Oryctolagus cuniculus: one gene and its partner. The main gene of each other region encodes a partner of the protein of the gene in region 2 in a complex. Links are inferred from orthologs where the notes say so. Each region holds a gene or a part of one and is shown on either strand. Other genes may lie near its edges.

What was found.
Region 1: the proteins of AP2A2 (region 2) and EPS15 are in contact, whole or in part, in a crystal structure (PDB 1KYU), measured with the Mus musculus proteins. The link is inferred for Oryctolagus cuniculus from reciprocal best matches to the Homo sapiens genes AP2A2 and EPS15. Residues at the interface, in XP_006536218.1 of Mus musculus: Phe442, Phe443, Trp446, Lys447, Asp487, Pro488, Val494, Arg511; in NP_031969.1 of Mus musculus: Asp629, Pro630, Phe631, Lys632.

What each region holds. Positions count from the first base shown.
Region 1 is NC_091438.1:121,548,408-121,552,217, reverse strand, and holds part of EPS15 (epidermal growth factor receptor substrate 15), read right to left. Parts: intron 2,410-3,810; coding exon 2,206-2,409; intron 1-2,205. UniProt on the Homo sapiens protein: Involved in cell growth regulation. May be involved in the regulation of mitogenic signals and control of cell proliferation. Involved in the internalization of ligand-inducible receptors of the receptor tyrosine kinase (RTK) type, in particular EGFR.
Region 2 is NC_091432.1:490,696-494,505, reverse strand, and holds the end of AP2A2 (AP-2 complex subunit alpha-2), read right to left. Parts: intron 2,895-3,810; coding exon 2,805-2,894; intron 2,135-2,804; coding exon 2,011-2,134; intron 1,516-2,010; coding exon 1,399-1,515; intron 1,275-1,398; coding exon 1,205-1,274; intron 1,116-1,204; coding exon 981-1,115; intron 559-980; coding exon 481-558; 3' UTR 190-480; downstream 1-189. UniProt on the Homo sapiens protein: Component of the adaptor protein complex 2 (AP-2). Adaptor protein complexes function in protein transport via transport vesicles in different membrane traffic pathways.

The DNA of each region.
Region 1 (3,810 bases), on a different chromosome or scaffold from region 2:
AAGAAGCTGCAGGATGGGCTGGTCACTGGGAATACCAAAGCAGGATTAGAGGTTTTAGATACTCAGTCCCAACCTCCAACCTCTAAGAGAGGGGCTGAAGGTCCAGCTGATCACCAATAGCCAATGATGTAATTTCCATGTAATGAAGCTTCCATAAAAAACCCAAATGGACACGGTTCTGGGAACTTCAAAAGAGCTGAACACTGGGAAGTTCCTCGAGGGTGGATGTCTGGAGACAGCATAGAAGCTGTGTGCCCCTTCCCACACACTCTTGCCCTATACATGACATGTCTTTATCTGTATTCTTTGTGGTATCTTTTATGAAGGATTGGTAAACATTTTCCCTGAATTATGTGTGCTGCTCACACAAATTAATCAAAGCGAAGGAGGAAGCTGTGGGAATCCTGATTTACAGCCATCTAGGGTTCCAACATGGGCTTACCACTGAATCAAACTAGGGAACATCAGCTGATGCCTCCTGCAGAACTGCTATTTGCTTGCTTGTGGGGAGAAATCTGCACAGCTTTTTCTGTCCCAGAAGTCTACTGTGTTGTGTGTGAGAAGAGAGGGAAGAACTTTGCTTTTCTGATAGTCATCTCCCAGCTAGAATAAGACTCCAAGTCTTGTTCAGTCTACTTAACTCTTTCTCAAACTCTACTCTTCCTCTCCATCCTCACTGTCACCATCATTCATTTATAATACTCTGGTTCAGCTTATTACAGTAACCTTTCAACTGTATTCCTGCCTCCAATGTGTGTCCTTTCAATTGTCCTCCTCATAGATACCAAAGCAATAAAACCTTCAGTCTGAATCTTACCATGATTTTTCTAGTTTAAACTTCTTCAATGGCTCCCATTGCTTTCTTCACTTAGGTTGGAAAGTAAAAAGCTGAAAAAATGGCAAGGGCAATTTCCCTTTCATACTACATTATGTGTTTAAAGGATAACCTAGTAACCTGCCTTTTGTGTTTGAAAGAATATTGCAAAATGTATCTATGACAGCACTATCTAAATAAAAATCAAGCCTAAATTTTCTACTCTTAATACTTCTCAAACTTCTCTTTGTCTCGTTTCTTGCATTACTGCTTAAATTGATGCCAAAACAGCTCTGAAATAAGCTATCCCTATATAGTCTCCTAACATAGCTCTGTGTGTATAGCCCCATTCCCCAGTCTATCCTTCACATTTCCAGCAGGTAAGTTTAGTCACATCACTTCATTCTTCAACTTATTCAAAGGCTACTCACTGTAGTTAGACAAAAGGCCCCAACACATCAAGATGAATCTTGATCTCTTATCCTCTGGCCCTTTCTTACCTGAAGGTTGTCATTTTTATCCAAGCATACATCATTATCATCCATGGAATTTGTTTTTAAAAAATCTATGTATGTGCCTGGCTTGATCCTAGAAACTGTACTGCAGCAAATATGAGGTGGGGCACATACTTCCGTATGTTGATAAAGGCACCAGATGTGATGCAGATGGCCAGGAGGAGGAAGCCTCAGCTCTTAGCAATACTCTCCCAACCATCATAATGTATCTGTGAGAACGTTTCATGGTTCTGTGCAGCATGTCTTCTCCCACCCTGAATCTACACTACTACTATTTTCTTTGCCAGAAATGTACCATGCTCTTCTTTGCCTAACTCCTTTTCAACCTGCCTAAGTTCATTTGCAAAGCTTTCCCCACAAAATTTTTCTTCAGCCCTCTTCAACCTGTGCTAGCTAAATATATTGTGCTTTCTTTATCATGACCCCTTAACACTATATTACTATGTAACACTATGTTACTGTTAGCTGCTTGAAACAAAGACAAAAGGTATTTCATCTTTGTGGCTCTCACATACAATAAAGCAATTTTGTACACAGCTGGAGTTCACTAAATAATTATTTATATCCTAACATTATGAAATAAAGAATTAGCTCCAGTTTTGGGTAAGGGTACTTAAAAACTTAAAAAGCTTTATGTACAGAAATACTGTTTTAAAATGTGCTCTAATCAAAATAAATCAGTTAAAATTATTTTTACATTACTTAAAAATGTTAGAATTTTTCTATCAGGATCCACTCTGCCTCTAAAAAGAAACTAACTGTACTCAGATGAGGCAAGGACACATATTCATATTAGGTACAATGCCAACAACACTTGGATCTGTATTAATCCTTTTCTCTGAAGCTGAATATGAAGGATGTGGACTTATTACTCACTGGAGACTCCTGGTGTATGGGCTCAGATTCCAGGTTGCTCTGGCATTCGGCGTGTTCATTAAGGTTGGCTGTTTCACTGCTGCTGGTGCTGAGGCTGCAGTAATCCGTAGTGCCATTTACAAGAACGCTGTGTGGGCTACTGCACCAATTTAATTGATTATTATGATTTTCCAGATCTTTCATTTCCATTAGTTTCATTTGCATCTGTCAACACAAAGTAGAAACACAGCAGAATTTATTACTAGAAAGACATGAAACGTAAAAACAGTTATCAATCTGGATTCGGTTGAGGATAAATGTTTCCTTTAAGGAGAATCCTCTGGGAGTGCAGCATGACTTAGAAGTTTTTGTTTTATTTTGTCTTTAAATTGATGTATTTGAAAGAGAGAGAGACAGAGAGTGAGCTCCATCTGCTGGTTCACTCTCCAAGTGCTTGCAATAATCTAGACTTGAGCTGAAGCTGGTAGTGGGAACAAAATCCAAGTCTCCCATATGGGTAGCAGAAAACGAATTATTCAGCCATCAGTGCTGCCTCCCATGGTCTGTATTAGCAGGAAGTGGAGCTAGGTATTAATACCCAGGCACTCCAATATGGGACTAAGGTGTCTTAACCACCAGGCCAAATGCCCACCCTAAGGAAAGACTTTAGTACCTTCTCCCAGTACGTCCTCCTCTTGAAATTCCAGTATACATGGGTTTGCTTTAGCACATCTTTTGAAATTTCTAAGAATTCTGACTAAAATATCTGCAGATTGGCAATGCTTTAGAGTATAATTAGAAAAAGATGAGCCAAGGTATTGAGGGAAAACATAACAAAATAACAAAGAAGAAATTTTGTGATGGAACTTTGATAAGTAAAGAAGTTCAGAGAGAGTCCTTGAAGCTTTGAACCACTCACATTCCTGTTGGGAATGAGGGTAGTGAAGACCAAAGAAAACTAAGCTAGTGCCCTCATACTCTGGCACTATTTATTAGTGGGTTAGAGCCCTAGAAAGTATTCTCAAGATCTAAGCTACGCCATACACATTAAATAAAGCTTGCTCAAAGTTTTATTTTGATCCCATCATCCAGGTGAATTTATACTTCTAAAACAACAGTGGAACAGAGAAGGTAGAATTCAACAAATTACATTTAAAAAGCAAAATGTAGGGGCTGGTGTTGTGGTTTAATGGGTAAAGCCACTGCCTATGATGCTGGCATCTTTTATGGATGCTGGTTTGTGTCACGGCTGCTCCACTTCTCATCCAGCTTCCAGCTAATGGCCTGGGAAAAGCAGCAGAAGATATCCCAAGAGTTGGGCCTCTGTTACCTGCATGGGAGACCCAGATGAAGCTCCTGGCTTTGGCCTGGCCCAGCCCTGGCTGTTGGAGTCATTTTGGAAGTGAAGTAGCAGATGGAAGATCTCTCTATTTGTGTCTCTCCCTCCAACTTTGACTTTCAAATAAATAAAGAAATCTTTTTTAAGCAAACCATTCTAATAGCTCAGTGTGTGACAACAAACCACAGTGATGCCATATTGATTCTTACTGTCTCAGAAGCAAGCTGACCCCCTATCAGCCTAACAGGCACCATTCTTCAGCCATAAAATTTGAATGCAAACATGAG
Region 2 (3,810 bases):
CGCCCCCAGGACAGCCAACAGTAGTGCCCCACCCCCAAGGGACAGGGAGCACCCCCCCCACAGGCATCACCCCCAGGGCAGCCAACAGCAAAGGGTCGGCCTGGCCTCCATGGAGCCAACACTGCTGCCCCAGGGCAGACACGGGCCTGGAGAACGGTGATTCTGAACCAAACTTCGACAACATCTCCATTTTCATTCAAACTTCTAATTTCCCTTTAATGTACAGACTGAGCCACAGACTGCCTTGATTTCTATAAAAACTGGTCCCAGGATCCGGGCTCTCCTTGGACGGGGCAGGCCCCTGTAGTCCACACTCAGCTTTCCTTCTTACAACACACAGTGCGTCCCACGCGTGGCCACGGGGACAGGGCTGCAGGCGCAGGGCTGGGAGGCCCGTGTCCAGTGGCCGCAGGCCAGGGAGCAAGGACAAAGCACAGGGACGAGAAATGCACGAGACACGGCCGCCTTCTGCCGGGCCGGCTAGAACTGCTCCGACAGCAACTCACACAGCCTCTGGGAGACGGCCTCTCTGCTCGTCCGCAGCGTGAGTCGGTACATCTGAAACAGGACGCAGCCGGTCAGCGGGGGCAGCACGCGGCTCCCCGCAGGGGCCCTCCTCACTCGGCCAGCCCTGGGCTGCCACTGCGCCCCAGAAGCCAGAGCCCCAGACACGGGCAGAGGTGAAGGCGCCATGTCCGACCAGGACAACCGCCCGCGGCACATGGGGTGTGGCCCTGTGCGGCCTCGCTCAGAGTTCACTGTGCCCCCAACCAGGAGCCAGCAGCCACATCTGTGGGCACTGCCCACCTGGGAGCAACACGGGCAATCACAGGGCCCCTCCACCGGCCCAGGGCCGGGCCTGCCCCAAGGTGCCCTGTGGGGAGCTGGAAAGGGCGTGGACCAGCAGGGTGGAGCACCTGGGACAGAGCAGCCCCCGCGGCCCTCACCAGCGCCAGAGCAGCTCCCCCTAGAGGCCTCACCTGGGCCTGCAGATTCGGCTCCAAGCGAAGCAAGCATCCGATCTGGGTAGTTTTGGTGTGGATGATCCCAGCTCCCACGAAGTTGGCAGGATTAGGATCGACTTCTTCAAGGAGTGCAGAACCAAACCCAATGATCTGTCCAAAGAAACAGCACGGTCGGGACCTGGGCGCCGGGCGCCGGGCCCCAGGCGGTGCCTGCCCGTGACTGTCCCCACGACGCCTACCTTTGCTTTAGTGATCTCCGTGTCCATGGGATGCTTGGCTTTGAAGATGTTCTGCACCTCCTGCTGTGGGCTGCGGGACAGAGCCAAGGCGCTAGTCCTGGTGGCAGGGACAAGGCCCCTCTCCCCACTGGACTGCCCGCCTGCCCCCACACGCCCAGGCCCCGCCCACCCGATGGACAGCCCCGCCCTCTCACTTGCTCAGCTGCTTCCAGCGCTGAAAGAAATCCTGAGAAGCCATTTCTGTGGGCTGGAAAAACTTGTTGAGGGTGACGGGCAGCTTAACGGACAGGTTCTGAAACGTGCCCCCGTACCTGTGAGCAGCAGACGTGAGAGGGAGCGGCCGGCAGACACACCTCGCACGCCCTCAGCAACCAGGAGCTGCCGCCGGCCATGCAGCCAACAGGAGCCCCGCGGAGCGTCCCTGAGCGGGGGGCCGCAGGGAGCCGCACCCCCCGTCCACCCCCTCACTCAGGCTGGCTGGTGCAGGCCAGGTGCTGGGCCCAGGGCAGCCCCGCCCAGGCCCCAATCCTCTGAGGCGTGCGTGTGGCTTCTCTCCAGGCGGAGACAAAGAGCTTTGCTGAGAGCAGGGACCCCCCCCCGCGCGCCCCTGCGTGGCTCACTGTGCTTCCGCTTCCTGGACTTGAACCCCACAGCGCTCACACCCACACCTACCCCTTCGTGTTTCCAAAGACCCTGAGCTTGCAGACCGTGGGGACTTGTGAGACCCCGGCCAGGGAGGCCCCCTGCTCAGCACGAGCACGGCCCTGCCAGGCCCACGAGCTGCCCGCGCGGCCGCCAGCCCTCACCTGAACTGGATGTTGAGCACCGGCGCCTCTGTGAAGTCAGACACACACTCGATGTTGACCACCTGCTGCACCTGGGCGCCCCCGTCCACCGTCGGGTCCACGGGCTTGGTCTGCAGGTTCAGCTGTGTGAGCGTTAAGGACTGCAGAGAGGAGCCGGGGGCCCGGCTGCCCCCACCTTCCACACGGCACTTGGGCTGTGCCGGCGTCTTCACTGCGTGCCCGCGGCTGTGGTGTGCACACACACTCGTGAGAGCGGCCAGAGGGGAGCGAGTGGCCCGTGGCCCCGCTGCCATCACCCACGCAGCAGCAGCTGCAAGAACGTGCCCCGGTCCCACACGCGTGTCTCTGGGCAGCCAGACGGCAGAGGACACGCGTGTCTCTGGGCAGCCAGACAGCAGAGGACACGCGTGTCTCTGGGCAGCCAGACGGCAGAGGACACGCGTGTCTCTGGGCAACCAGACGGCAGAGGACACGCGTGTCTCTGGGCAGCCAGACGGCAGAGGACACGCGTGTCTCTGGGCAGCCAGATGGCAGAGGACACGCATGCCTGAGGGCAGCCAGACGGCAGAGGACACACGTGTCTCTGGGCAGCCAGACGGCAGGGAGCAGGGTCCTTAGGTGCATCTGACCAAATGCTAGCTTTGACACGGAAGAGATCTCCTGAGGTTTCTCTAGCACCTGGAAATGTCTGGCTACTTTAATTTAAAAACAGAAGAAGAAGTTACAACTTCCCCCAGAAGCCTCTGTCCCAGCCCTGTCTGGGGGCGGGGGCGGGGGCGCGGAGCCAAGGATATCAGACTGCAGGCTGTCTGAGCAGATTAGTGTTGGAGTAAAACTGAGGAACTGGGTGGAGGTCTTGTTGCCGTAGAAGATGAACATCCGACCTGGAAGCAGAGACGAGTGCACGGTCAGCGCCGTCGCCTGTGACAGCCGTGCGCCCGGCCCAGCACTGAAGACAGCGCCGGGCTCCAGCCTCCTGCTGCGGCAGACCCCGGGAGGCGGCGGCTCCAGCAGCTGGGTGCCTGCACCCCCCCCGGGGGGAGGGGGGGCTCCGTCACCCCCTGGCTCCCGCCATGGCCCAGCCCAACTGCTGCAGGCGTGGGATAGAAACTGCCCATCTCCCACTCCCTCTCCCTCTCCGCGCGAACAAAAACATCCAGCAGGGCCGGACACAGAGGTCGCCTCTCCTCTGCTGGGCCGTGGCTGCGGTCCTTCCTGTGGGTGCAAAGGACCACACAGGCGCCCACTTACACCACGGGCCGGCACGTGGCACAGCAGGTAAAGCCACCAACTGTGGCGCCGGCATCCTATCTGAGCACCACTTCTGATCCAGCTCCCTGCTACTGCGCCTGGGAAAGCAGTGGAGGAAGCCCAAGAACTGAGCCCCTGCACCCACGCGGGGGACCCGGAGGGAGCTCCAGGCTCCTGGCTTCAGCCTGGCCGAGCCCAGGCCAGGAGTGAATCAGTGGATGGACGCTCTCTCTCTCTGTCTGTCTCTCCGTGTCACTCTGCCTTTCAAACAAATACATAAATGTTTTTAAAAAAATGTTTACATCAGAATAAAACCTTTACACCCATCTTTACAGGCATTTTTCTGGCCTTCGAATTCAGAAAGGGAAAGGAAACGTTCAAAAAGGACAAGCACTTTGTTACACTGTAAAAACAAGCAAAAACCACACACGGTCACAAGGACCCACAAGAAACCAGGGGTAAACGGACCCTAGCTGCCTCCCGTGAGAGGGGGGAGCTGCTCGGTGCAGCGCCCCACACCCGGCTCCCGGGGCCCCACCTCCACAGCAG